3 linked regions of the Canis lupus familiaris genome follow. The protein of the gene in region 1 purifies or fractionates together with the protein of each later gene. This does not show direct contact. Links are inferred from orthologs where the notes say so. Each region holds a gene or a part of one and is shown in the gene's direction. Other genes may lie near its edges.

Region 1 (9,839 bases):
AGAGACAGCTTATTTAATATATAGTGTTGACTTGCTCACCTTGAACTCACAGCCAACAGTATCATAACTCATGCCTGAATAAAGCTTCTCTAACACATGGATTTTCTCCATAAGGTACATCACAGCCTTCTTGTGCTCAGGAACACTAGACAGTACTGTGCCCAAGGGCCATTTTACACAGTGAAATCACCAACAAAAAGCACAAAAATGCAAAAAACATGGCACTAAACAAAATCACCAAAGGACACTGGTTTATGGTACAAGAGCTTAAACAAGAAGGCAGAACTTCACCTTATTTGACCTCTGCTGGGAACGTCTGCATGAGGAGACAGAGGTTGTCACTGCTATGCTCAGGTCCATGCATGGCTATGAAAGTACTGTGAGTATGGATGTGGGGGTTACACTTAAATTTTAGTGAGTCCGTGAATTTGCAGATAATGGAATTGAGAGGATATACATAGCTGGTGCCATTTCCACTACTTCCTCCTCTTGTCCTGCCCAGTCATACCCCCACCTTCTCCAAAAGTCTGCTTCCCCTGCCAAGAGGGATCTTTGTTGATTTGCAGTCTGCTTCTGATCATTCATCTGTGTTCAATTCCCAACTGAAAATACCCTTGACGCAACTCAGTCCATCAGTCACTGACCCAACCAGTAGTCATCAAGTATTTTAAAGCCCCTAATAGAACTTTTTTGTTTAAAGATTTTATTTTTAAGCAATCTCTACACCCAGTGTAGGGCTCGAACTCATAACCCCGAGAACAACGGTCGCATGCTCTACCGACTGAGCCAGCCAGGCACCCCCTAAAGTACCTAATAGAATTTTTGACAAGTGCAGTGGGAAAGAGACAAATACAAGAAGCAATGGCTTCCAAAGAGGGGTTTGCTATTTATCAGCAGTTGAGGACAGAAAGCTACCCTGTGAAACAAAGGCAACCATGTTGGACAGGAGCTAAGTCTAGTTTACCAAGAATGTCGCACACTGCCAAGTGCTCTAGATATCTAGAAAACAACGATTCCCATGGAGTCTTTAAATAAAGCTTTTCCAAAACATGGAACTTTCATGGCACTTATGGAAAACAAATATAGAGGGTGAGTGAGGAAGTATTCAGTATATATGAATGCAACCTGAGAAGTGGGAATGAACATTGATTTTCCCCAAAAAAGTAAGAATAAAGAGACAAACTTAGGCAGGATGCTTGTATGTAAGGGGCCAGACGTGGTTAGAGCTGAGTGCAAGCCTAGCTCTGCCTGATGATGCTTTGTTCCTTGTTCCATCAGACATTTTACCAAAAAACACTGACAGGACATTCCAGATGGATTAACCAACACTAAACATCTTGCATCCCAGTCACATGCCTTTTGCCAGGATCTCAAGGACTTGTTGGTAATAGTAGCTATTTTAATTTAGGGCCAATATACTTGAAAGGTCATCCTGAAGAAAGGTCCAGAAAATGGACTCTCAGGTAGTGAATTATTCCATAGGACCCATGACAGATTCCACTCATTCATCCACTACCTTCCAACAGGTAACCCATCCCTTCCTCTTCAGCAGGAAACTAAGCGGCTACATACTAGTGAACGTCACAGGTATAAACCATCCTACTTCTTGTTTTTTGAGGCAGCAGATTGCAAACCTTGGCTGTCTGTTACCAGTAATAAACTACTGCTGTATAGGATTATGTTAAGGTGGCCACTCGACCGCGGGACCGTGGCTGTAGCCTCAAGGGGAGCTAGCCTCCTGAAAATGTTATTAATAACCCACACTTATAATAACCAAAGTAAGAATATACAGTGGGGAAAAGACAATCCCTTCAATAGATTGTGCTGGGAGAAAGAAATGGTTATATGCAAAAGAATGAAATTGGTCCACTTTCTTACATCATACACAAAAATAAACTCAAAATGAATTAAAGACCTAAACTGTAAGACCTGAAACTATAAGAGTCCTAGTAGAAAACAGAGACAGTAAACTTGGAGCTCAGCTAGAGCCATCTTTCTAGACGTGTCGCCTGAGGCAAGGGAAATAAAACCAAAAGTCAATTATTGGGACTACACCAAAATAAAAAGCTTCTGCACGGCAAAGGAAATATTTTAATGAAAAGGCAACCTCCTGAATGGGAGAAGATATTTGGAAATGATATATCTGATTCAAAACACAACTCAATGCCAAAAAAACGAAAATGATCCGATTAACAAACGAGCAGGGGACCTGAACAAATAGCTTGCCAAAGAAGACATACAGATGGCCAACAGACACATGAAAAGATGCTCAACTTCACTTATCTTCAGGGAAATACAAATTAAAATCCCAATGGGACAGCACCCCACACCTGTTAGAATGACTATAATTTAAAAAAGGGCAAAAAATAACAAGGGTTGGTGAGGATGTGGAGAAAAAGGAATCCTTGTGCACTGTGGGTGGGGATGTAAATTGATGCAGCCCCTGTGGAAAACAGTATAGAGGTCCCTCAAAAAATTAAAAATAATATGTACATATATACACACACAATAGAACATTATTCAGTCATAAAAATAGAACGAGATCTTATCATTTGTGACAGGGATGGATCTAGAGGGCATTATGCTGATTGAAATAAGTCAGACAGAGAAAGACAAATATCATATGATTTCACTTATATGTGGACTCTAAAAAGCAAAACAAATGAACAAAGCAGAAACAGACCGCCAAACAACAGAGGGCAAACTGATGGTTGCCAGAGGGAATGGGGGTGGGAGGATGGGCAAAGGAGGCGCAGAGGAGTGGGAACTAAGAGGCTTCCAGTTACGGAATGAGTAAGTCAGGGGGATGAAAGGTACAGCACAGGGAACGCAGTCAATGGTATTACAAGAGCGTTGTGTGGAGACGGATGGCAGCTACACTAGTGAGCCCGGCATCAACGGACAGGCTGGTTGGATCACCATCAAGGTGACAGTGTAGATCAAGTATACCTTGATTTAAAAGATATTTTAAAAAGAAGAATCACAGAAAAAAGGAGAACATGTTAAAGGAAGGTAGTCAATCTAAAGCGGTTAGCACGATGCCCGGCACCCGATAGGCCCGGTGTGTTTGCTATTATTAATACAAAGACTGAATCTCCTCCAGGGCGCTGTTTATTTCCAGGGAAGTCCCACAGCGGACTGTAACGCTGGGAGCCCAGCGCATCTCGCTTAGAGCAAGGGGCCGCCGCTGTGACTGGGGCTAATATCATAACCTTGGGTACGTGTGCGGCATTTACTGGGGTTGGAGCCTGGGCTTGACAACCCACAAACATCGATTATGCGCTTGCTGTGTGCCAGGCAGTGCGCTCCACGCGAGGACGCGGACAGCAGCGGAGAACCGCGGCTGTGCGCTGGGCACGGAGCGAGCCCCTCGCGGGAGGCATTTATTCCTTCCTCCCAGTGACGCTGCGAGGTAGGCACCCTCATCTCCATCCTCCTGGGAGGAAATCGAAGTCGTGAGGCACTGAATGATTGGGCAGGCCGTTCTCCCCCGGCCTTACACCCTGAAAGTCCCCGTGTCCCCCGTGAAGGAGCTTACTCTGCACCCGCTACTAAGCGCTCCGCGAGACCCCGGCCTCCGCTCCGCACCGCATCCCCCTTCCCGAGCCCTCCAGATGTCGGGGATCCGAGCGCGCCCCGCCCCCGCTGCCAGGGGCTCCCGGTTCCCCAACACCTTACGGCGAATCGGTTGGAAAGGAAGCAAAGGAGGCGCGCGCGAGAGGCTCTGCCGCCGGGCTCCACGTCCGGGCTCCACGTCCGGGCTCCACGTCCAGGCCCCGGAGGATGCCCCCGGACGCTCCTTCCGCCCCCGCTACGGGAGGAGGTCGGACCCCGGCCGCTCCCCTCCGCGGAGCCGCACGCCGAGGCGAGGTTTCCCTGCCTTCAGGGCGCGCGCGACGGCCACACCGGAGACCCAAACCTTGGGCAGGGGCCAAGCGGTCACTTCCCCGCCTCCCGGCGCGGTATGCAAATCCGAGCACCAGGAAGTAGCTGGGACCTCTCGGCCGAGCCCAGCGACAGCCAGTTCCTCTCCCGCCGCTCGGGGCCGTCCGCCGCTCGCCCCCTGCCGTGGCGCCTCCGGGCCCCGCGCGCGCAGCCTCCGGGCCGCGACCCCGCGCCCCGCGCCCCGCGCCCGCAGCCTGCCCCGCGCCGGCCCCGCCGGGCCGCCCCGTCGCGCCCCCCGCCCTGCGCTCGAGTCACCGTGGAGCGCCGCCGCCGCCGCCCCGCAGCTTGCAGCCGGAGCTGGTGAGTGCCCGGCGCGGGCCCCGCCGTGAGGGCGCCAGATGCCTCCAGCCCGTGGGTGGCCGGGCCCTGGGGCGCGGGGGACGCTCCGCAGGTGTCTCCCCGCCGCGGCGCGCAGGGGGGCGGGGGGGCGCAGGGAGGGGCGCGGGGGAGGGGAGGCGCGGGGCGGGCGCGCCGGGGACCCGGGACTCCTCGGCTCGCGCGGTCGGGTCTCGCCGCGGGGCCCCGGGCTCCCCGAGGTGAGGGACGGGGCTCGGCCCGGGCTCCCCGCCAGGCCGGCGGGCGGCTGCGCTCCTCGGGAGCCCCGGGCGGAGCGTGAGGTCGGGGGGCTGCGGCCGAGGCTGGTGCGCGCCCTCCCGCTGAGCCCGGCGCCTCCCGGCCGGCGGAGGAGCAGTCCCGAGCCTCCCGCGGCCCAGAGGAAGCGAGAGTTATTTTAAGAATTCAGGGGTTGCCTTTCCTGCGCCCTGGGGGGAGGGCGTAGGCGTCAGTTCCCGCTTTCCTGCGTTATCTTGGCCACTGCGGCATCTCCTCCGAGCCGCGCATATATGTTCCCACTAATAGCTGACGTGGTCGTCTGGTTGTGTTTCCATTTCTCCGTGTATCCGTGTGTGTGTGTGTGTGTGTGTGTGTGTGAGAGAGAGAGAGAGAGAGAGAGAGAGAGAAGAGAATTATCACAAACCCACCCAACTTCTTTGCCAAAAACCCCAGTTGAATTTGGGCCTTCCAGTTTTCTAGCTGAGTGTCAACCTGGGCCTATTATTGAAATTACCTGTATGGGTTTTTTCGTCTCTGGGAGAACATATTTACCTTCTGAGCTATTTATTGCATGTAAAGCCCCGAGTGCGTACATAGGCATTTCATAAATGGCGCTGTTATTATTTATTGCAGATAATTCTTTTTTTTTTAATTTTTTAAAAATGTTTATTTATTTATGATAGTCACAGAGAGAGAGGCAGAGACACAGGCAGAGGGAGAAGCAGGCTCCATGCAGGGAGCCCGATGTGGGATTCGATCCCGGGTCTCCAGGATCGCGCCCTGGGCCAAAGGCAGGCGCCAAACCCCTGCGCCACCCAGGGATCCCTATTGCAGATAATTCTATCCGTTAAAACACGGTTCCCTGGTTCTTCACAATTTGTTGATTTTAAGTCTAAGACTACATGTCTGATTCAGCCAACTGACCTTCCTAGCTAGTAAAGCTGCTTAATAAATACACCAGAGGTCTGCTGTCTGCAAAGCTAGGGTCTGGGAGTCTCACGCTAAGCACTAGTTAATGATGTTTGACTTACTTCTGATTTGTTGGCTGCCCCCCAGGCTGGCTGCCTGCAGAGCTCAGGAGGGCAGGCCTGTTGTCCCCGTATCTTAAAAGCTAAAGCACTGCAGAGGGTAATAGGCACTGAAAGAGTATAGGAATTCCCTAAGTCCCCAGAAGCCCTTCCTAAGTAAAGTAAACTCTGCTGGAAAAGGGTGGGGTTCAGTTAGTCCTGAACTGAAGGTTTTCCTTTGAAGGTAAGGAGGTAAATGTCTTGAGGCTCTTGGTGACCTGGCTTCTTTGGATACAGAGTGAGGTAACTCTCTTCCTGAGCGAAGTGTAGAGGTCAGCCCATGTAAGGAAAGAAACAGGCTCTGGAAAACCCACGTTTGGGTCTCTCCCATCATTTACCAGAACTGTGATATGGACTAAGTTGGGTAAATGCCTTGGCCCTTTGATTCAGCTAACATTTCCTTCGGAGCAGTATTCAGTTATATTCTGATTCGTTTGCATGTAGAGTCCGTATTCACCACTGCAATGAAAGGTGGGTGAAAACGACTTTGTCTGTCTCGTCCAAAACACTAGCCCCAGTGCCTATCACAGTCCAGATTACTCGGAAGAGGGAGTGAAGTTTGGCTCTGAGTTTGGCTCTGTGCAAGGCCAAGGAACAAGGTGGTGGTTTCTAAAGCATTTGAACCTGGCCCTCTCTGTCCCGGTTTTTAAAACAGGGTTATTGTTGTTGTTGTTTAAGATTTTATTTATTCATGAGAGACACACAGGGAGCCTCTTGTGGGACTCGATCCTAGGACCTTGGGTTCACGACCTGAGCCAAAGGCAGATGCTCAGGTGAGCCACCCAGGTGCCCCTAAAACGGGGATTTTTGACTGTCAAGTTATCCCAGTGTCAGTGTTCTAAGTGGTAATCTCTACATAGGAAAGGTTATTGGGGTGTATCCCTGGGAGCAAGGGCTTGATTTGGAGTGATGTCATGTAGCCTGCAAAGGGAGTTTGCCCAATCAAAAAGACCCACTTTATCTTAGAGCTGTTGGTGTTGCCAAAATATGTGAAGACTTTGCAATACCCCTGCACCCCCAATGGCATTTTTTAGCAGAAAAGTGGTCCAGTTTTGTGAATCAGTGACTCTCTAAGCCCTTTAGTTTCTTTATATTTGTTTTAAAAATAAATCACCAGAACATGAGATACCAGTTGGTTCAAATGAATATATAGAGTTGTAAGTTAACAACATTAAGCTATACTATCCATAAACAAACCCATACAAATGTGAATTAGTATAAATAAGAACACAACAGTGTACATGTCTACAATAAGTATTGTTACATCTAGCTTACAATACTGATCTCAATGACCTCCACGTCCTCAGGCATGGATAATATTAACAGTGGAAGGTCACTACAGTCATTAGTTGGGACATTGACCGATGACACATTGATGACAATGGTGGTCTCACCTCTCTTGGGCTCTACCTGGCAATGACTGCTCACACCTTTCGCTTGTCAGAAGCTCTGAGCTCTGATTCCTGAGCTCTGATTTCATTTGAACCTCTCCTGGATCCCAGGGTAGGCAGGGACAGGTACAGAAAAAAGAGGTTTGGTGTCTAAGGTTACAGACCTGGTTAAGTGGCACTACTGGGCAGAGCAAGTGTGTTTTCTGCTCCAACTTTAGAACGTTCCCCACTTTTCTGCCTTTGCTCTGGTGGTAGGTACTCAATTACATAAAAGCAAAGAAATGATCACTTAATAAACATTATTAAATAGAGAACCACAGGGTAATTTTCTTCTATCACTTGATAATTGCACCATCAAGTAGGGCACTTAAGGCAAGCAAACTGAGGGAGATGGGTTTCTTTGCCTTTCAGTGTGCTTCCTGCTTGGGGAGGGGCTTCCTGCTTGGGAAGCTTTGGGAGGGGGTGGCTCTGATAACTGCCAGGGTGACACCTGTATTGGCTCTTGCCCAAGCGCTTCCAGTGACTGCCTTGGGAGCTATCAGGGCCTATTGGTTGATATAGAAGTGTGCAAGTAATACTTTACCAAAGGATTGCCTCCAGCCGCTGCTAGAAGTGTCTCCCATGAACCCTACAAGCCTCCTTGGGTGGTTGTTATAACAGTGAGAGCATCATTTGAGGTGAAAACATAACGTAGGGAGACAGGGCCCATAAGATACTCGTTAAAGCATGCACTCCTTTACTGAGCACCTGTGATGGGCCAGGCACCCTTCAAAGCCCACACTTCTACAATGGACACACATTGCCTACCATCTTTAAAGATTGGTGGTGAACAGAAGGGCATAGAAGAGGAAGTTTCTTTTTTTTTTTTTTTTCCAGTCAGAACTATTGAAAGATTTCTTACACCTGCCCAGTTTCCTGATACTTAAATTGTGAAATGTTGAGTTGACTCTATCATCATTTCTGAAATTTATTTTGAGTAAGTTCCCATTTAGGGGAGAAGCCCAAGTGTAGGAAATGTGTGGGAATCTGCCCGTTGAGGAATTAGAATTTTTGGAACAGCCCCATTTAAAGACTTGGACCTTCTTTTGGATGTCTTTGTTTACGTTAGCTGGAAGGGCTGTCATGTAATTTAGAATAGCAAGTTCAGATGATGACTTGAGATGAGGTGTTAGAAAGGTACGTCTATGCCGATCAGTTGCAGGGCCCAATAATATAGCCTTTATTTTTTGTTCTTAGACTTTCTCTTCAATCTAGTTCTCTGCTTCACTTTCTTTAGTACTTAGTAAGCTGTCAATGTTCATTATTTGCCACAAAGCTATTTCTTGGAAGTTCTATTTACCATCAGGATGTAGTTTCGTTTGTATAGAACTTTTCCAAAAGGTTGATTGTTTGACTGTCTTTATGAACAGTCACATAGTCCCAAGTCTCTCTTCTCTGGCCCAACCTCTCACAAGGTCCACAAATCATGAGTTGCCGTGATAGGAGCTGAACATTTATGGGAAGAGATTACTGATTCATGTCATGGTAACTGTTCATTTTTCATGATTCTGACTTATATAAATGATGTTTCATCAAAATATATGAATGAGGAAACCTTATAGAATCCATCTGAGGGTGTATTTCTTAATGCTATAGGCTCTGCCCCCATTGGGTTGTAGAACACTGGGCAGCAGTCTCCATTCTCGTAGCTTAGAGGGTCTTTTATTATTTTTTATTATTTTAAAATTTTTTATTTATTTATTCATGAGAGATACAGAGAGAGAAGCAGTGACATAGGTAGAAGGACAAGCAGGCTCCTGGCAGGGACCCCAGTGCGGAACTCGATCCCAGGACCCTGGGATCACGACCTGAGCCGAAGGCAGATGCTCAACCACTGAGCCATCCAGGGACCCTGAGAGGGTCTTTTAATTCTGTTTCATCTCCTTTTTACAGTTCACACCTCACACAAGTCAAATAATGCTGAGTCTGCACACATGGCTGCCTTTCTGTGAACATCTAAACTCACTCTGTTGATCCCAAGCCATGCTGATTGAAAGCTCTTTGCCAACACACCTCTCCAGGCCTCCTTCCTCTGTCTATTGGTACAACATCTGGTTGGGGAGCTGTCATGAGTTCCTTGGGCCTAATTTTTAGTGCTGGAGAGAATACACAGTGAGACTGGAGAGAGGGGTTTGCATTCATTCTACCTCCAACTAAAGCAATGTCGTTTTGTTGGCTTTGGAGCCTTCTGGGTGCCCCTGGTCTTCCTGTAAATGTTAACCCCCACAGGGGTGAGGGGAACAGAGACGCTCATCTCAGAGAGACCCTCTGGAGAGGGAGGACCACTTCTGCTTTCCACGGGGAAGCTGTGTCACAGAGAGCAGAACTGTAGCCGGTGACCTGACAGGAGGCCAGAGGGAGGGGGCTGGCAAGGAAGTGATACTTCCTCCTGCTTCGAAGGCCCCAGACCCAGTCATTTGCCTGCAGCCCCGCCTTCCTTACTACTCAACACAGCTTTTTCCTCTGGCTTCTTTCTACCACCTTCTGCTCTGTTCATTTTCAGTTTGCCCCTGAAAGAGGAGGAGGAGGTAAGGGAGGGGGAGGGAAGAAAAGAATGAATGTAGTCATCACTAGAGAACCTTCTATGGTGAAGCCCATGATGGCCATGCCTGATTTTTCAGCATCAGAAGGATGTGCCTTTTAATATTCACCAACATGGAAACCATTATGAAAATCTAAGTAGGTGTTTTGAAATCTTTTAATGTTCAGGTAATATAATAATTTCTTAATCTAATAATAGTGGTTCAGTTCTATTTTTAAAATTACTTAAACTATAGCCTCTTATTAACTTTTCAGGATAGAGTAGTGACTTTCATACTTCTTTGATCACAACTCACATCAAGAG
Region 2 (10,071 bases), on another chromosome or scaffold:
CTGAGCCACCCAGGTACCTCAATAATTATTTTCTTTTCTGAAAACACAGGGCCCTTTCTAGCCTAAAAGAGCAACTCTCTAATTGTTTATATATATATATATAACATTGTCATGTTCTCTATCTTGACTGGGGTGGTTGTTAACCTAAGTATATACATTTGTCAAAAATCATCAACCTTGCGCACTTCAAATGTGGGAATTTTACTATAGGTAATTCATATCTCAATAAATGTGATTTTTAAATTATAATTAACAATAACATAACAAATAACCAAAACAATTTTGGAACTTACACAATGACAAAAGATTAATACCCTTAAGAAATTAAAGATACAATTCTCATACAATAAAGAGGAAGGTTATTTATTTGCTAATGAAGGAACCAACAATATGACAGAGCTGGTTTGGAAAGAATTTGAAGAGTTAAAGAATACACTTGGGTGGCTCAGTGGTTGAGTGCCTTTGGCTCAGGTGGTCTCCCGGGGTCCTGGGATTGAGTCCCACATCGGGCTCCCTAGGGGGAGCCTGCTTCTCCCTCTGCCTATGTCTCTGCCTCTGTGTGTCTCTCATGAATAAATAAGTAAAATCTTAAAAATATGTATAAAAAAGGAATACTGAATTATAATTGCTAATCATACTTCATGCCCTATGGGATAATAAAACTATAATCTTTGGGATTATTTTCTTCATCAGACGTGCAAAAATTATTGCATCTTATCAGTTTCCTACAAGCTAACTTCTAACTTTACAGAGTTGGAAAACGTCACTGGATGCTAATCAATTGCTGTCAAAGTTAGATTTCCCTAGAGAGTCAGATGGCTCTTATGTGGGTTTACAAGCAATTCTCTAGCATGCTATTAAAAAGGCATGCAATCACCATATGACATATTTTCAGATACTAGATCATTTCCCTCCACATTCGTTGCTGTTATTCCACATTTAATGAAGACAAGAAATATATTAATTTCCTATTAGCTCTGCCTAAGAAAAACAACAGCAGAAGTATGGCAATAAATGGCAACTGCCTATAAGGCTCAGGAGGGAGTGGTGGGGACTGTGGCAAACCACAATACTATATCCCATCTAAAGGGGAGAGTTGTCTGCAGGCACCCATGTGCCATGTGGGAGGGCTGGTCCTGTGTTGCTATATCTCCCGTTTTTAAAAGAATCTGAAGATTTGGGCAGCCCCAGTGGCCCAGGGCATGATCTTGGAGACCTGGGATTGAGTCCCACGTCAGGCTCCTTGCATGGAGCCTGCTTCTCTCTCTGCCTGTGTCTCTCACGAATAAATAAATAAAATCTTAAAAAAAGAAAAAGAAAAAGAATCTGGAGATTTTTTTTTTAATGTTCATAAAAGTTCTCCATTTTTAAATGTTGGCATTCAGTTCAGATTGCTCTAAAATACTGTGCAGGCCAACGTAATGAGAGAAAAATGAAAGGAAAGTCCTACTGAATCTGGAACTGAGCCGGTGTCAATATCTGACCTAGAATAATACCTTCCTACAGGAAGACAAGACTGAGGCCTAAAGAAAGGAAACACTTAACTCCAAATCAGGAGGTGAGTTTGGTCCAGACGGGACTTAGAGCCCAAGTCCTGGATTCCCAGGTGGAAGCTTTTCCCACAAGGCAAGCATTATAGGCATTTTCTTTGTCTCCCACCAAGTACTCCATATTTTATTTGCTGATTAGCTGAATAAAAAGGACTAGTATGAATGATTGTCAAGTTCAAGGTCAAGTTCATAGGTCATAGGTCAAGTTCAAGCCAGTGTGATGGGCCTAATGTTGCATAGGATCTGCATGGGCCATAGCTTGCATCCTATCCTTATTTATAAATTTTTTTAAATTTATTTATGATAGTCACACACACACAGAGAGAGAGAGAGAGAGGCAGAGACACAGGCAGAGGGAGAAGCAGGCTCCATGCACCGGGAGCCCCACGTGGGATTCGATCCCGGGTCTCCAGGACCGCGCCCTGGGCCAAAGGCAGGCGCTAAACCGCTGCGCCACCCAGGGATCCCCTATCCTTATTTATTATAATAATGGCAATAGTTACCATTTTTTGAGCACTAACTCTGGGCCAAGCTCTGTGCTTTACTCACAGCATATCACTTAGTCTTGTGATAACCACATGATATAGGTCCTACTAATACCTCCACTGAGGCTCAGAAAGGTAAAGTCATTGCTTGAAGCCATAGCCCCACATTCTTAAGCCTCTAAAGTTGATGGTTTTAACCACTGGGGTATACTATCCTTTCTCATTCAGTCAGTCAATGGGTCAGTCAGCCAAATAGTTACAATGCAGTGGTGCCCATTGCTGAGCCAGGCATTTTGGGGAATACAGCTCAAGTTCCAGTCTAAAGCCTTTAGCATAACTTGATTCACATTCAACACACATCCCATTCTTCTAATCCAAAATAACAAGTGGTTCCTGAAACACACTGGAAGGTTGGGCTATATAATTAATACGCCAACAAAGTTGGTTTTTAAAATGGGAAGTAACAATTAACTCCAAATGTTTAGAGAGTCTGTTCAAATGAAAAGATTGTGACATGTACACATATTTAGTTGACCAGATTGCTCGAAGACCGGACCCACTAGTAGGCGGAAGACAACGGCTGACTGCTAGAATAACGGGTTTGCACTTTAACCTGGGTAGGCAGATCCTACAGACACAAAAAGAATTGTACCTTAGCCAGCATATGCACCTTGAATTCTACAAAGAGAGGCTGGAGGGATGAAGACAACTTTGGAGGTTATTACACGGAATGAATAATAAAGTTATTTCCAGATACATTCAGCAGGAGTAAGGTATAAACACCCAGATGTCCCTTAAGCTTTCTGGAACTAGGTTCCCAGCAGGCTCTTCATTAAAGAAAACAGTATGGTGGAAAGAGAGGACTTTGAGGGGCTCAAATCCCAGTTCTTTCTAATCCTGTACATGGGTTCATATAACATCTCCAGACCTCAATTTCCTGATGAGCAAAGTGGGTATAATAACATCTACCTGCTAAGGTTCTTGTGAGGGAGAAATCATATAAAATACATCAAGCAGTTGGTAAGCGATGCGTGTTCGGTGTTCATTTCTTTCCTCGGTTTCCTTGTAACCACAAGGGGAGTAGGCATACGTGGGGCAGAGATCAAATAAAACAGCGCTTTTCTCCACACAGTATCACGAGAAACCTCACGGTGGTGTTCCGAGAGCACCGCAAATTCTGAAGGTGTTTTTCAACTGTCAGGGGAAAGATTACATTTTTAGTGGGTTGAGGGAGAAGGAAGAACTTTCGCCTGGACCCAGGCCGTGGTCCGGGGCGCGCGGCATCCGCACGCAAGTCGCTGGTGTCCGGCGTCCGCTCCTCCCGCTCCTCGTCCAGCGTATGGACGTCCTGCTGGGCGGCCGGGTGGTGAGAGGGGTCGCGGGGCCGGTCCGCCGCGCGGAGCCCCTGCGTGTCCCGTGGGCTGTGCGCATCACCGCGGGCGGCGCGGGCGGCGGGGCTGAGCCTGCGCCCTGGACACACGGTTCCTGGCTCGGTGACCGGCTCGCCGACTGCGGCGTCGCTGTGGGGCAGTCACGTTGAATTAAAATTCTTCGTAAGTCAGTGACTGGAACCCTCACCAAAGGGATCGTTCCGCTTCAGAAGCTATTACTCCCCCCTTTGCGGAAGAGCCCCAAACGTTGACACATTCTTACTTTCTTACACTACGCACTTCCACCGGGAAGACCCCCCTCTTTCGTTCGCGATTTAAAATGTAGCCCTGTTTATCCCTGGAGGGCGGCTTCTTCGCTTTCCTCAGTGATTGGCTGCAGCTCCCCTGAGGTGATTGGTTAAAGCATCTGCCCGTTATCTTTCGGGAAGTTGGTGAGAGTTTAAAAAAAAAAAAAAAGAGAGAGAGAGAGAGAGAGAGAGAAAAAAAGTGTCCTAAACTCAGCTGTTTTATTGGCTCCGGTGGCGACGTACGGTGAGGGCGTGGGCGGTTAATATTTGCGATTGGTTGTTCTGTCCGTCAATTACGCCGCCGGAAACCAATTCTCTCGCCCGAACCACGCCCGATTGGCTGTTGGCGGCGGGAGCCCGCCCCCTCCCGGTTGCCGTGGTTGCGGGCCCGGCCCGCCCGCTCGCCCGCTGACAGCGAGGCTTAGGGCGGAGGAAGCGGGTCGGTTGGTCGGCCCGGAACGAGGCTCCCGCGGCCAGGCCCGCGCAGAGCCGTTGCCATGGCAGCCGCCGACGGGGGCGCGGACGACGAGCCGCGCTCGGGCCGCTCGAGCTCGGACGGCGAGTGCGCCGTGGCGCCGGAGCCGCTGACGGGCCGCGAGGGCCTCTTCTCCTTCGCAGACTTCGGGTCGGCGCTGGGCGGCGGCGCGGGCCTCTCGGGCCGGGCGTCCGGCGGGGCGCAGTCCCCGCTGCGCTACCTCCACGTCCTGTGGCAGCAGGACGCGGAGCCCCGCGACGAGCTGCGCCGTAAGATCCCCGCCGGGCGGCTGAGGCGCGCCAGGCCCCACCGGCGGCTCGGGCCCACGGGCAAGGAGGTGCACGGTGAGCAGCGCGGCGGGACCGCGGCGGGACCCCGGGGGCCCCGACTGCCGCGGCCGCTCGCGACCGGGTCCGCGGACGGCTGAGCTCCGGGCCCGCGCCGACCGCGAGCACCGAGGACCGCGAACCTGGAGGGGACGGCCTTTAAGCGCTCGGGGATTCCTGAACAGAAACTTTTCAGGACTCCAGGCGTTTCTTAGTAGATTAAAAAAAGAAGGGCGGGGGGGGGGGTGTTGGGGCGAACGCTTTTAGCGTCAAAGAGGGGGGGAGGCCGGAGCCTGTGGCCAAGCTCCGGCAACTCCTTTAACTGCACGGACTGGGATTGGACTCCTCTACCTCGAAGCCTTAGGCAAACTATAGAAACTTCCAGCCTTAGTTTTTCCGTGTGTAAACCACTACAATACTTGCTTTACGGGGATGTTGCCGGAGTTAAGTCAGGGGGTGAATCAGTACAGGTTATCCTGCTTTGGTGGTGTGCCAAACACTGTTGGGCCGGCATGTGTTCATTTCCAGTCCTCACAGTAACTCAGTGAGATCCAGATACTGTTCCCATTATATGGAAGAGGAAACTGAGGCTCGGAGAGATTGCCTTGCTCCAACCCCCGGTAGCTAGAAAGTGGCTGTGCTGGCATCAACCCACATGGGCCAGGTCAAACTCCTGCTCGTGTGTGGGCTCTATTGTCTTTTACATTTGGGGATGACGCGGAAACCAATGCCTTGAAAGATTTAAGAATGGAAATGTTAGTGTCCCTTCTAGGACTATCTGTGATTCCACCCTTATCTAAGTCATGCTGTTAAGATTAAATGAAAATTTGAACGTGCTGTGTAAAGCATAAAGGGCTATACAGAAGTAAGGAATCATTAAATGTATCTGCTTGCAATTTTGACCATCCCTCCGATGACAAAGGCATTGTTCTCTAATACAGAGGTAGCGTCCTTATAGGAGAAAAGCGTTTCTGCTTCGGAATTACCAAATTTAACTCAGTTATTTGGGAATGGCCTCTTTTGGAGAATATAATTGCAACAACTTGGGGCTGTCAGGATAGGGCTCAACCTTTTTTTTTTTTTTTTTTTTTTTTTCCCAGATGATAAACCTGAGGCCCAGGAGGTTTAACTAACTTGCTCAAGGTCACCCAGCTACTTTAAGTGCCAGAGCCAAGATCTGGCTCCAAAGACCTTGAAGGATTTGCTACAGAAAGTGGCTTTTTGCACTGTGTAGCTGTGATACATTTCAAGTTTTTCTTGTTCCCAGGGTAGCGTCTCTTGTATCCTGGTGCCTTTCCTTCCCTTTAGATGTTCTTGTGGGTGAATGGTGGATCAACTAGGAAGCCATCCACTCTCTGCTTCATCATGACTGTTTTATTTATTTTTTTAGATTTTATTTATTTATTCATGAGAGACACACAGAGAGAGAGGCAGGGACACAGGCAGAGGGAGAAGCAGGCTCCCTGCGGGGAGCCCCATATGGGACTCCATCCCAGGACCTGGGGATCACGTCCTGAGCTGAAAGAAGACACTCAACCACTGAGCCACCCAGGTGCTCCTGTTTTATTTTGTTTTTAACTGGAGCTCTCTTGCTCTCTTCACAGCTCTGAAGAGGCTGAGGGACTCAGCCAATGCCAATGACGTGGAAACAGGTGAGTGTGCAAAGCAGGTCTGGCCCCACCGGCTGGTTAGGAAAAGAAAAGAAAAATCCAGGCAACCAATTCCTGGGAAGACAGTGCTTGAATTCAGTATGCCAGCTCACACCCTGGACTAGGCTCACTATATATATCATGTAACTGTATTCATCTTACAAGAGATAAGTCTGGCTTATTTTTTTTTAAGATTTATTTATTTATTCATGAGAGACACAGAGAGAGAGGCAGAGACATAGGCAGAGGGAGAAGCAGGCTCCTTGCAGGGAGCCCAATGTGGGACTTGATCCCTGATCCTGGGATCAGGCTCTGAGCCAAAGGCAGGCGCTAAACCACTGAGCCACCCAGGTGTCCCATTAGTCTTGCTCAGATGCTCACTCTTCCCATGCTTCCCTGTCACTCTGAACTTCCTGATGTCATAGTGTTTTTCAGTCTGTGGGCTCCCTGATGTGGGGACCATGTCTGCTTTTGTATCTCTGGCACCGAGCAGCAGGGTAGGAGCTTTTTAGAAGTTTTGGTTAATGGGAACGAACAGTCAACTTTAACTGCCAGAAGAGCCACCACCCGAACAGAACCACCACCTTCAATGCTCACTGAGGCTTTGCAGTAGTTGGGTCAATGGTTCTCAAACTTGTTTAGTTGACGGAACACCCAAATGGAATGAGAGGGGCTCCTAGCAGGACACCACCCTGGTTTTTTTTTGTGTGCATGGTTGCTCTCCAGTGTCCATTGGCTGATGGGAGTAGCAGCATCAGAGGTACAAGGACAAGTCCTAGGGGAAAGCTTCTCATCATATCCATATATTAGTTTTCTATGTCTGCTGCAACAAATTACCACAAACATGCTGGTTTAAAACAACCCAAATTTCTTTTTGAAGAATTTGTATTATTTTTTTAATAGCACAGATTTCTTTTTTTTTTAATTTAAAAAAAAATTTTTTTTAAATTTATGATAGAGAGAGAGAGAGAGAGAGGCAGAGACATAGGCAGAGGGAGAAGCAGGCTCCATGCACCGGGAGCCCGACGTGGAATTCGATCCCGGGTCTCCAGGATCGCGCCCTGGGCCAAAGGCAGGCGCCAAACCGCTGCGCCACCCAGGGATCCCTAATAGCACAGATTTCTTAGCACATAATTTTGGAGGTCAGAAATCCAACACAGGTCTCACCATGCTGAACGTCAGGTGTCAGCCAGGCTGCATTTCTTTCTGGAAGCTCTAGGGGAGACTCTGTTTCCCTGCCTTCTCTAGTTTCTAGGGGTTACCCACATTCCTTGGCTCATAGTCTTCTCCCTCCATCTTCAGAGTCAGCAACAATGGACTGAGTCCTCACACCGCTGTCTCTCTGGCTCACACAGCAGGGAAAGGGACTATGATTTAAGTACTTATGCGATTAGTGTGATTATCCTAAATAATCCAGAATAATCTTCCTAGTTCAGGTGCCTAACCTTATTCACATCTGCAAAGTCTTCTTTGCTGCATAAGGTAACCTATTCAATAAACTGAGGATTAGGGCATGGACATCTTGGGGGCTGTGATCCTACCTGCCTCAAGTGGCCATCATTCTGTTTTGGTGGTGCTGTGCTGTGGTCAACAGAGAAGTTGTGAGCATCGCTTGAGGGCCATGGGATCAGAGAGCCCATTTACAGCCAGCACAGACAGGAAGTCGTTTACCTCAGGGGGCTGGGTGTTAAACTGTGGGCCTCAAGATGGTTCCCTTACCCCTGGTGTAGCATGGTGAGCAGGCCTGGCAGCTGGAGGGCTAACTCTTTTCACTTTGGTCTTTTTTCCATGAACTTTAACATTTTCGAATATTTGAGCAGCAACCTAGATAGCTTTTTTTTTTTTTTTCAAGGAAAAACGATAAGTGTTCTCTTTTTAATACCTCTTGTGTGTGGCCAGAGATTGTTTGAATTATACTTCCCTTGCACAGAAAGCCTAGTTCATCTTGAATCAAGTACTCACATGGTGGTTTCAGTGTTTTGATAGAAATACTGTAATGTTCCAGTCAGAGTCTCTAACACACCCACGTTCATATCTAAATGGCTGTCAGAATGATCAGGCTTTTGCTGACGGTGACCTTGGCTGTAGGGTTAGCCTCTTTACTCCTTTTCTGTTATGGTTTGCATTTCCTTTTCCTTTGTTACACATTTGTTGGGGTTTTGGTGTGTTCAGCAATTATAGTGGACATAAAACTGATGTTTTGCTATTGTTAAATCATAATATATTTTCATATATATGAAAATCATACACACTTAAAATGTTTGGAAGATGAGAGAAATATGCAAGAAAAACATCCATAATCAGCAAAGGAACTAATTTCTGTATATATATTGGTGACTATCCTTATCCTTTTTCCTATACAGAGAAATTTTCTTTATGGACTTGCAAACTGTGCCGGATACACAATTTTGTAGCCCATATAACTTTTCATAGTCTTTGTAACCATTCGTTTTTTTTCAAAATGGAAACCTCTTTTTTTCCTTACTTACAGAATAAATACATGACTATATGACTTTTTGAAGCTTATAAGGTAAAAAGCAGAAATCATCTCATAATTCCATTCTCCAGTTATAATCACAATTTGTAATGGTTGCCCACTGTCTTCAGAGGAACAAAGTGAGAGTTAGTCATATATTTGCAGAATGATTTTTCTTTTTGGGGTGGGGGAGGGACAGAAGAAGAGGGAGAGAGAGAATCTTAAGCAGGTTGCATGCTCAGCACAGAGCCCGATACAAGACTCGATCTCAGGGACCTTAGATCATGACTTGAGTCGAAATCAAGAGTCAGACGCTTAACCCACTTAACCTGCTTCACCCACCGAGCCCAAGTTTTTCACTGTTAAGATAATTAACCAGGTGTATGGGGTTATCCCATCAAAAGATATGCATATTTCGATGACTTCTGCCAGATGCTGCTTCTAGTGCTTTCCAATAAGACTGTAACTGTACAAATCATGAAAGAGAACTGACTCTTAGTTTTATCTTATCTCTTTGGTATGGTTGTCTTTTGGTGAATGTCCTGAGCTGACTGGAAACTCTTCTTTCTCTTCGACTCTCATAAACCTTTTCCTATCACCTTCATTCATTTCTTCAATTAGTCAATAATGTTCATGGAGCTGAACAAATTCGATCATGGTCCTAGGTATTATTTTTTTTAAGATTTTATTTATTTATTCATGAGAGACAGAGAGAGAGAGAGAGAGGCAGAGACACAGGCAGAGGGAGAAGCAGGCTCCTTGCAGGGAGCCTGACGTGGGACTCGATCCTGGGACTCCAGGATCACACCCTGGGCTGAAGGCAGGCGCCAAATTGGTGAGCCACCCAGGTCCTAGGTATTAAGTAAGATAAAACCAAAAAATCTACAATATAATTGGAGAGAAAGAAAGTGATAGCATTTCTGAAACAAAACCTCCAGAAAAACCAAAGTTATGTATTTCTTGTAAGTTCTGGAGCCGGAGAAGCCAGAGAAGCCTGGGTTTACATCACAGCTTTGCCTCCTGGTAGCTGGGTGAGTGTACCACTCTACAGACCAGGACTCTTCTCCTGGTTTGCTAAATGGACACGACACCTGGCCGGGTTGTCGAGGGGCATAGCAGACAGGTGCCTGGTGCCAGGTAGCTGCTCGGCGTACAGCTCCCATGCTTTAAAATGGCACAGCTTGGGATCCCTGGGTGGTGCAGTGGTTTGGCGCCTGCCTTTGGCCCGGGGCGCGATCCTGGAGACCCGGGATCGAATTCCACATCGGGCTCCCGATGCATGGAGCCTGCTTCTCCCTCTGCCTATGTCTCTGCCTCTCTCTCTCTTTCTCTCTCTGTGACTATCAGAAAGAAAGAAAGAAGGAAGGAAGGAAGGAAGGAAGGAAGGAAGGAAGGAAGGAAGGAAGGAAGGAAAGAAAAGAAAAAGAAAGAA
Region 3 (9,291 bases), on another chromosome or scaffold:
AGCTGAGGGGCAGGATGTTGGGGCACCAGTGCCCTGCTCTGGGAAAGTATATGGGAGCAGGCAAAATGCGGGGCCACACTGCTCAGACTAGATTGTGCAGAAGCTTCTGAGAGGGGCGTGGGAATGCACCCCCCACCCTTTCCAAGTTGGTATTTGCAGGAATCATGTTTATTCTGTGACATTAAAGAGCAAGTTGGCAAAGCTGGTTTTGATAGACATCTCTTAGTAGCCACAGCAAAGCAACTGAATTGGTTATTGAACTGATACTCACTGAATGTCTGCCCTGTGCTGGGCTCTGTGCTTGCTGGGTGCTGGGGATACAGCAGGGAAGTGAGCAGGAGCAGCCCTGTCCTCATGTACTTGGAGGGGAAAAGTCCTCCTTTATTTTTTTGTTTTATTTTAAAGATTTATTCATCTATTTTAGAGAGAGAGTGAGAGGGCAAGTACTAGAGCTGAGGGAGGGGCAGAGGGAGAGGGAGACAAGCAGACTCCCCGCTGACCATGGAGCTCCATGCAGGGCCCAATCTCAGGACCCCAAGATCATGGGCTAAAATCAAGAGTCGTACACCCAGCCAGGTAGGCCACCTAGGCACCCCAGAAGTCTCCCTTTGATTCAAGGATGAATAGGAGTTGATGAGAGAAGAACAGGTGGTGCGGCAAGGAGGAACAGCATGTGCAAAGGTCCAGGGGCAGGAGGAACTGAGAGGGATCTGTTAAGATCAGACTGTAGAATCCAGGATGATGAGTGACAGGAGAGGAGAGAAGTGGATGTTGCACTCAGGTTTCCCATATTTAGTCTGTTTGTAAGACGAGAAGGTGTAAGTCTTGGCCTGGGCATCTGGAGAGCAGCATATTGCTACCTTCCCAAGTGTCACCACAGGCAGGAGTCAGAGTGAAGGCATTTTAGAAGGTCACGTCTTTTTCAGGGGCAAATTGGTTGCATGGTTCTCTGTTTCCCGCCATGTCCATTGGCTTAGAGAGCTGACTTCTAGCAAATCCAGAGGACAATGAAGGAACATGAATTCTTAAAAGGAGAGGCTACAGATGTGAAGAGGAGAAGGGTGTATACAAATACGCATTTATATGTCCGTTTTGGTAGACATAGTTCAAAGTAGTGAGTTCAAGACCCGTGGGGCCCTGACACCAAAATGGTGGCCCATCGTTGGACTGAGAGCCTAGTGGACACCATGGGGCGGGTAGGATCATTAATTATCATATATCTGATTCACTCCTGATACCCTTTGACCGAATTCTCCTCCAAAGATTATGCAGTCTTGAGTCTCGATCTTTCCCTTGGATTGCCAAGGTGGCTGCTGACCAACCACATCCTGCGATTGTGGCCTCAGCCTAAGGCTCATGACTGGTATGGCCACATGATTACTTATGTCTGGCCCAGATCCTGACCATAGATCTTTCTAGACAGGAAGAATTCAAGATGTTGGGCACTTGGGCTGAGAAGTTCCCCAAAATGCCCCAAGGTGCCGACCTCCGCACACATGGCCACTGCCTTCTCTCCCTCAGGTACCTCACCGGTGACCAGCTACGGAGTGAGTCATCCACAGAAGCGTACATTCGCTGCCTGCGGATGGGCTGTCGCTGCATTGAGTGTGAGTACCATTTTCCTGGTGGAGATGATGCTTATGGCGAATTGAGGTCTACCATGTAGCTGCCCAAGGCTTTCGTCTGAAAGGCCTGAGTCCTGGGAATGCATGGGACTGGCCAAAGGAGAACCCAGGTGCCCATAGCATCTGGAGTGGGGGATGTGGCCACCAATGGCCAGGGACCTTACCCCAGAAGATTTCCCCCCAGGACAAGGAGTGGTGTCGAGCCTGGCCGTGTTGGAGTCAGAAACCCTTGAGTAGCGATTTTGGGCATCTAGAGAATGTCCCGATGTCGTGGCAGGGCTGGGACACCAGTACCAGAGATGGCTTTGTTATACTGCTTTCCTCCTTCAGCTTCACTTGGGCTGTTCTTAGAGGAAGGCAGGAGCTCTCTGTGATTTTTGCCACTGGTCCAGCCATGGATGCCACCCTGCCTGTTCTATTCATAGTTGCTCAGAGACACCTGGGCACAGATGATCCAGGCCCTTGGACATGTTCAGAAGCCTGCTGCTTCCTTCCGTCCCACCCCTCACCCTCCTGGCCTGACTGTGCCACCGAAGGCCTGCAGGTGTACTGGGCTGAGAAAAGGCACAGAGGCCTGATGTGGGCTCCAGTTCTATCGAACACATTCATCATGGCATCAACTTTAATAGCACTTATTCCTGTGGATGGTTGCCTAGTGTATGGGCCCTCCTCCAGGAGAAAGCAAATGTGAAAAAATTAAGTTTGAAACTGTCAGCTCTTGTTACCTCTGGGGGCTGAAAATAGAGGGGATGTTCACCTTCTACATAATCTAGTTCTGTTTGAATATTTTACTATGAACTTTAAAAAATAAATATCTCATTGCTCTGTGTTATTTCCACTAGCGGAAAAAGCAAGCCAAGTGAAATCAGAAAAAAAATCCTACATTATAAATGTCTTTTAAAAAAAGGAAACATTGAAACTAGTTTCTTTTGGACAGATGTATTGGGGACCTTTAAATAAGCAACCAGAGCCTTCCTGTCACCGCACAAGTAATGGTTGTTCATAAGTAATGCGGACCCTCGTGTTTCTGGCCCCTGAAGATAATTATTGGGTGTGGGCCCCATGTCCTAGTAACTGAGCCATGTGGGGGTCAGGGCCAAGCTCACAGACACCCACCAGCAGCGTGACTGCCGTCACTGGACTCTCGAGGTGCAGAGTGATGGCCAGATGTCGAGACTACACGTTTCTTTCCTCAGTGGACTGCTGGGACGGGCCCGATGGGAAGCCCATCATCTACCACGGCTGGACACGGACCACCAAGATAAAGTTTGACGACGTCGTGCAGGCCATCAAAGACCATGCCTTTGTCACTTCAAGGTTGGTTGGCTGATTTCCTGGTGGTTTGTCTTTAAGGGAAAGGTGGACAGACACAGACGCCCCTCATCCCCGTGTGTCTGTCTGTCTGTCTGTCTGTCTGTCTGTCGCTCTCTCTCACACACACACACATACACACACACACCCCTACCTGCCTGGCCTCCATCCTCTGGTTCACTCCCAACAAGTCTTCAGCTGAGTGTTGGCGCCCCCTACAGGCCAAAAGCGCAAGTCCCTCCCTGGTTCTGGAGCCTGGAGGAGGCTGGTGCTGGGAAACCAGTGACCTCTGCCCTCCTTCCCGCTGAGCTGAGCTGGCTCCTCCTGCACACAGCTTCCCCGTGATCCTGTCCATCGAGGAGCACTGTTGCGTGGAGCAGCAGCGCCACATGGCCAGGGTGTTCAAGGAGGTGTTTGGCGACCAGCTGCTGACGAAGCCCACGGAGGCCAGTGCTGACCAGCTGCCCTCGCCCAGCCAGTTGCGGGAGAAGATCATCATCAAGGTGGGTGGTCTTGGATGGCCTGACATTCAGGAGAGCCAGTGGCTCAGAGCACAGGCTCCTGGTTCCACCACATGAACTAACACCAGCTCTCCTTACTAACTCCCTGAGCGACCCTGGGCAAGGTCATTTAACCTCTAGGTACCTCTGTGTCCTCACTGGTCTTGGGAGGTTAATAGTAGAGCCTGCCTCATTGGCTGTGAGCATAATGTGAAAAAATGTGTGCAAAATGCTTAGGATTGCATCTGTCCCGTAGCAGGTGCTCTGTAACTATTAACTGTCATTCGTTGATTCTTTAGGCAAACCTCCAACATGCTCTGGTCTAAGTCAGGTCTCTGCTGGGGGTGTGCCATTGACCCGGGCTCCCCTCTGGCCCTCAGGAGCCCCCAGTCCACTGTGTGAGATGGGCATGGACTGGAGGTGGACAGTTGCCCCAAAAGGTTGTGTGTGCTTAATGGGATGAAGGAGGAGGTGCATGCCAAGTGCTGTGGGGAGAGATGAAGGATCAGCCATGCCTGAGAGTGCCAGGGATGCTGGGAAGGGGGGTGAGGTCTGGGGATCTGTATTACTAGGACAAAGAGACCAGATATACAGTGACTGAGAGCATAGAAGAGGTCATTTCTTCAAGTGTTCTAGACGGTCTGAGCTCTGTCTCACAAGGCTATCAGGGGACCTGGTATCCTCTTATCTTTTTTTTTTTTTTAATATTTTATTTATTTATTCATGAGAAACACAAAGAGAGAGAGAGGGAGAGGGAGAAGCAGGCCTGCTGGGAGCCTGATGTGGGACTTGATCCCAGGACCCTGGGATCATGACCTGAGCCGAAGGTAGATGCTCAACCACTGAGCCACCCAGGTGCCCCCCCAGAACCAATGTTTATAAATACTTGCCAGGGTGGGCGTCAGTACGCATCTGGATGAAGGTTGTTGTGGTCGCTGTCTTAGTCTTAAAGATGAGAACTATGAGAGTCAGAGAAGTATAACCACCTGCCTAGGGTCACCGAGCTGATAAAGCAGCTTTAATCTGCATATCCTGTGCGCAGTCCACAGCCCTGCAGTCTGGGCTGCCAGACTGGCTATTCTTGCCTTTCCCTCTGTGTGCCAGAGAATGTGGGACGTGCAGGCGGTATCACTGATCCACTGAATATTTACTGAGCACTTACTATCTGCCAAGCTACCAGAGGAGATTCAGCAGGGGACGACACAAAGTCCTGTCCTCATGGGGCCTATATTTTGTGGCAGGGAAGACAGAAGACCCAGACATAGATACACAAAGGGCCAAGAGTATGGAAAATAACTCTCAGGGATGAGAGAGTGACAGGGATAGGAAGGGAGGTGGGGGCTCTTTTTAGACCAAGTAGTTGGGGAGAGCTCACTGGAGGAGGGGACACTGAGCACAGAGCTGAATGTTGTGAGAGAGAAGGCAGGTGGAGAGAACAGGCAGTGCAAAGGCCCTGAGGTGGATGCTGTGGGTAGATGCTGGCTGGCTGGCTGATGTGGATGAATGCTTGCTAGCTCAAAGATCCTAAACTTGGGTCTTAAGGAGACAGGCTATGTGTATTTTTTCCCCTCAGCATAAGAAGCTGGGTCCCCGAGGGGACGTGGATGTCAACATGGAGGACAAGAAAGATGAGCACAAGCAACAGGGTGAACTGTATATGTGGGATTCCATCGACCAGGTGGGTCTCCTTGCACCCCTTCTCAGAGCCTCGAGCGCATCTGAGACCTACTAGAGAATTCTGAGAATATTCCTCTCACTCCCGTTTTGACCTTTTTTTTGTATCATTAATAGTTTACTTTGAAATAATTTTCTATTCCACATAGCATACTACACATTTACACATACACACAACAGATTTTTTTATATGGCCTTCACTCAGCTTCCCCAAACACTAACATAACATAACATAAACGTAACAACCAGAGTGTAATTACTGGAAATGAACTTTGGAGCAATACTACCAGGTGATCCATGGACCTTACCAGTTTGTCCTCTGATGTCCTTTTTCTGGCCCAAGGTTCAGTCCAGGATGGGAGAGTGCATCTGATTGTTCTAAGTCCTTAGTACCTTTCAGTCTAGGTACAAAACCTTATTTTGGTGAGAGGAATGCATTTTGAGTGCTAGTGCCACTTCTCACATCCCTTAACGTAACATACAAATCCATTTAGGTCTATTTTGAAATCTCTATTCTGACATCCTAGAAATAATGAAAATTATTAATGTTTAAAGAATTAAGTCACAGATGTTGAAGAGTCTCGAGACAAACTGGTTGGGAAATCCTGAAAGTCCTAAAACGCAGATGTAATAGAAAAAGACAGTCATGAAACCCCAAAAACATTGCCCTCCTTCATAAAAGGCTTCAAATTAAATAAATATGAACTAGAAATTTGATACTTAGTTGTATCTACCCTTAGACACACTGAATAAGAAAAGTCCTGAAAATGCCAAAAGAACCCAAAAATAGATATTTAGAGGAAACGTCTTGAAGGGAATTGAATTCCATGAAACCACCATAAACTCTACGAAAGTGGGAAAGGAGCATCCCTCGTAAATGCTGGGGTGATGCCAGGCAGGGCTCCTGGCCCCAGTGGTGTTGAGGGCAAAGGCTGAGGGGAGAGCTGATGCTGGGTTCCCTTTCTAGAAATGGACTCGGCACTACTGTGCCATCGCCGATGCCAAACTGTCTTTCAGCGATGACATTGAGCAGACTGCAGAAGAGGAGCTGCCCCAGGTAGGGGAGACCTCCTAACCCGTGCTCTTTCCCATGGCCCATGGGCCAGACATCCTCAGCCCAAAGAGCTTCCTCTTTGGGTACCAGTGTCTGCCTGGCTTGAGCCAGCTCTTCTCTGATTGGCTGGCTGACCAACCAGTGAGCTTTGGGGGGGCTTTCCTGCTCTCTGAAGGGCCTGCTTGGCCTGTGCTCTGGGTGAGAGGGGAGGACATGTGGATGCTCTGGCCAGCCGGCTTCCCCACTTCCCTGCCCTCTCCTCTGGGGCTGCTGGCCGTCCTTGGTACTATTTCTTGAGTGCAGCCCTCAGGGCATTATGGCTCTCAGACTCCTTGTGCAATAGAGTCAAAACCTGTACCCGGGACCTCTTAGCCCATGTCTTCGGGCTTCAGGAGGACACCACCACCAGTGGTGGCAGGCAAGGGAGGGCAGTGGAAGCCATCTCTCTAGACCTCTTGGGGTGAGGGCAAGGTGAATCCAGCCTGTCTGCTGTTCAGCCCCCGAAGCCAGCATGCACAGAGAGACCAGTCTGGCCATGCTGGGGGGGTAGGTTTTTACAAACTCCTCGTCTCTTTGGGGCCCAGGACACACCCCCCACGGAGCTGCATTTTGGGGAGGAGTGGTTCCACAAGAAAGTAGAGAAGAGGACGAGTGCCGAGAAGCTGCTGCAGGAATACTGTGCAGAGACCGGGGGCAAGGATGGGACTTTCCTTGTGCGGGAGAGCAAGACCTTCCCCAATGACTACACCCTGTCCTTCTGGTAGGGGCATGCCACCTTCCCCTCGCAGCTGGCCGGGTGGGGGGCCTATGTGGCAGGTTGTGTGATCGAGCTCAGGCCTAGACCCGAACCCCAGACTTCACTGAGGGATCCGTGCAGGGTGGGGTGGGCCAAGGCTGGTGAGGCTCGAAAAACTTAGCAGCAATCAAGATTAGTGATATTTCAATGCAATATTTTTTAAAAATTAGAGGTAGTGAAAAATCCACGATGAAGACCTTATCATCAATGTTTTAAATAAAGACAGGATCTAACTCTGCACTAAAGACAATGTGGCCTCACTCACACCCCCACCCCCTCACTAGAGCAGGTGGCTGCCCCTGGGTAAGTCACTGAACCTCTTGAAATCTCCATTTCCTTGTCCCTAAAATAGAGATTCTAAAGGTGGCTTTATGGAGCTGTCTTGAGCTTCCTCACTCACTCACTTAGTACCTTCATTCATTAAAAGGTTTTTTTTTTTTAAGATTTAAAAAATGTATTTATTCATAAGAGACACAGAGAGAGAGGCAGAGATATAGGCAGAGGGAGGAGTAGGCTCCCTGCATGGAGCCTGATGCAGGACTCGATCCCAGGACCCCAGGATTACCACCTGAGCCAAAGGCAGACGCTCAACCCCTGAGCCACTCAGGCGCCCCCATTCATTAAAGGGTGTTGGTTGAGTGATTGCTCTGTGCTGGGTGCAGGAATCAGACAGACGGGATGTCCTGATGGAGATTAAGTCTGGTCAGGGAGATAGTGAAAAAGGAATCAATGATCTATAATTGTAGCTGTGATAAGTGCAGTGAGAAAAGTGGTGGACGTTCTAGAAGTCCGTAAGAGAGGGAAGGTAACGTCAAGGGCGGCAGTGATCAGGGAAGACTTCCTGTAAGAAGTGGTGTTTAAATGAAGACTGGAGGGGATCCCTGGGTGGCTCAGCGGTTTGGCGCCTGCCTTTGGCCCAGGGCGCGATCCTGGGGTCCCAGGATCGAGTCCGGCATCGGGCTCCCGGCATGGAGCCTGCTTCTCTCTCTGCCTGTGTTCCTGCCTCTCTCTATCATAAATAAATAAATAAATCTTTAAAAAAAAATAAATGAAGACTGAAGATTATAACATTATAACAGCATACGGCTACGGCTATAAAACACTGACAGCTAACACCTACAGGATGCTTGCCACGTGCCAGGCGGCATTCTAGGCACATTTTGTGTGTGATCAGTCCTCAGGACAGCTCAGTGGGGACGGACCGCAAAGATGATAATGTGGAGGCCCGGAGAGGACAGGCCGCTTGGTTCAGGGTCATTCAGCACATAAAGGGCCGCGTCAGGATTTACCCCTAGGCCATCTGGCTCCAGAGTAGGAGTTATGAAAGTGAATGTAGGTGGGGGAGGTAGGTAGAATGTTCTGGAATCCATGTTAAAGGACCAGCCTGTGCCAAAGCCCGAGCCTGTTCTAAGAGCAGAGGGAGGGCTTTGGGGCCACACACGGTGCCTACCCGTCATGGCCCTGGCTGCAAATCTGGCCACCCACCACCCCCACCCCCACCCCCACCCCCACCCTGGTGCGGGGAGGGCCAGGGGGCCCGGCCTGGGGGCTCATGTCGTCTCTCCCTCCAGGCGGTCCGGCCGCGTCCAGCACTGCCGGATCCGTTCCACCGTGGAGGGGGGCACCATGAAGTACTTCCTGACTGACAACGTCATGTTCACCAGCATCTACGCCCTCATCCAGCACTACCGCGAGACCCACCTGCGCTGCGCCGAGTTCGAGCTGCGGCTCACCGACCCTGTGCCCAACCCCAACCCCCACGAGTCCAAGCCGTACGTGTGCCCGTGCTCTCGGGGCCGCCGACCTCAGGCACTGACCCCACGGGTTTAGGGGGTGCAGACACCCCCACGGGCTGTGTTCACCCATCAGAAAAGCCAGCCTTGTGGGTCCCCTGGGATCTCTTCAGCCCCCTGGACGGCCAGTCCCCAAGCACCTGCTCTACTTTCTCTTGCCCTCTGCCTCCCCCTGCCTTTCTTCTACTTTACCGTCACCGTCCTGCACTCTTGGCTTTGATTTTCAAAGGGGAGTGTTGGCCGGTGAGAACTTTCTGCTTGTCGAGGCTCATTCCTGTTCGTTGTGAAAGTGAACAAGAAGAAAGTCACTGTGCAGATTTCCCCTTCATTTTGTTATCGAGTAAAATGTATACAAGTTATGCCTTGCAAGGGGCTAACCAACTCTGGAAATAAGAGGGGGAAACTATGTTTAAGCAGAAGGCTGCTAAAATGTGCATTTCTGACAAGCCTTGTAGCTTCCAGCAGCTTTCTTACTTTCGTCTGTATTCGTACAGATGGCCTTTTAAAATTTGCTGTTTCATATCTTTAAAAGTAACCA

What was found.
Region 2: the proteins of LYN (region 1) and ANKRD54 purify together in Homo sapiens (affinity purification with mass spectrometry; 3 studies listed by BioGRID and IntAct, with this or other methods). This does not show direct contact. The link is inferred for Canis lupus familiaris from reciprocal best matches to the Homo sapiens genes LYN and ANKRD54.
Region 3: the proteins of LYN (region 1) and PLCG2 purify together in Homo sapiens (affinity purification with western blotting; 3 studies listed by BioGRID, with this or other methods). This does not show direct contact. The link is inferred for Canis lupus familiaris from reciprocal best matches to the Homo sapiens genes LYN and PLCG2.

The regions. Positions count from the first base shown.
Region 1 is NC_049250.1:7,826,788-7,836,626, forward strand, and holds the start of LYN (tyrosine-protein kinase Lyn), read left to right. Parts: upstream 1-4,163; 5' UTR 4,164-4,245; intron 4,246-9,839. UniProt on the Homo sapiens protein: Non-receptor tyrosine-protein kinase that transmits signals from cell surface receptors and plays an important role in the regulation of innate and adaptive immune responses, hematopoiesis, responses to growth factors and cytokines, integrin signaling, but also responses to DNA damage and genotoxic agents.
Region 2 is NC_049231.1:27,790,691-27,800,761, forward strand, and holds the start of ANKRD54 (ankyrin repeat domain-containing protein 54), read left to right. Parts: upstream 1-4,157; 5' UTR 4,158-4,210; coding exon 4,211-4,532; intron 4,533-6,118; coding exon 6,119-6,166; intron 6,167-10,071. UniProt on the Homo sapiens protein: Plays an important role in regulating intracellular signaling events associated with erythroid terminal differentiation.
Region 3 is NC_049226.1:70,669,053-70,678,343, reverse strand, and holds part of PLCG2 (1-phosphatidylinositol 4,5-bisphosphate phosphodiesterase gamma-2), read left to right. Parts: intron 1-1,521; coding exon 1,522-1,607; intron 1,608-2,821; coding exon 2,822-2,942; intron 2,943-3,270; coding exon 3,271-3,439; intron 3,440-5,009; coding exon 5,010-5,114; intron 5,115-6,077; coding exon 6,078-6,167; intron 6,168-6,748; coding exon 6,749-6,924; intron 6,925-8,531; coding exon 8,532-8,732; intron 8,733-9,291. UniProt on the Homo sapiens protein: The production of the second messenger molecules diacylglycerol (DAG) and inositol 1,4,5-trisphosphate (IP3) is mediated by activated phosphatidylinositol-specific phospholipase C enzymes. It is a crucial enzyme in transmembrane signaling.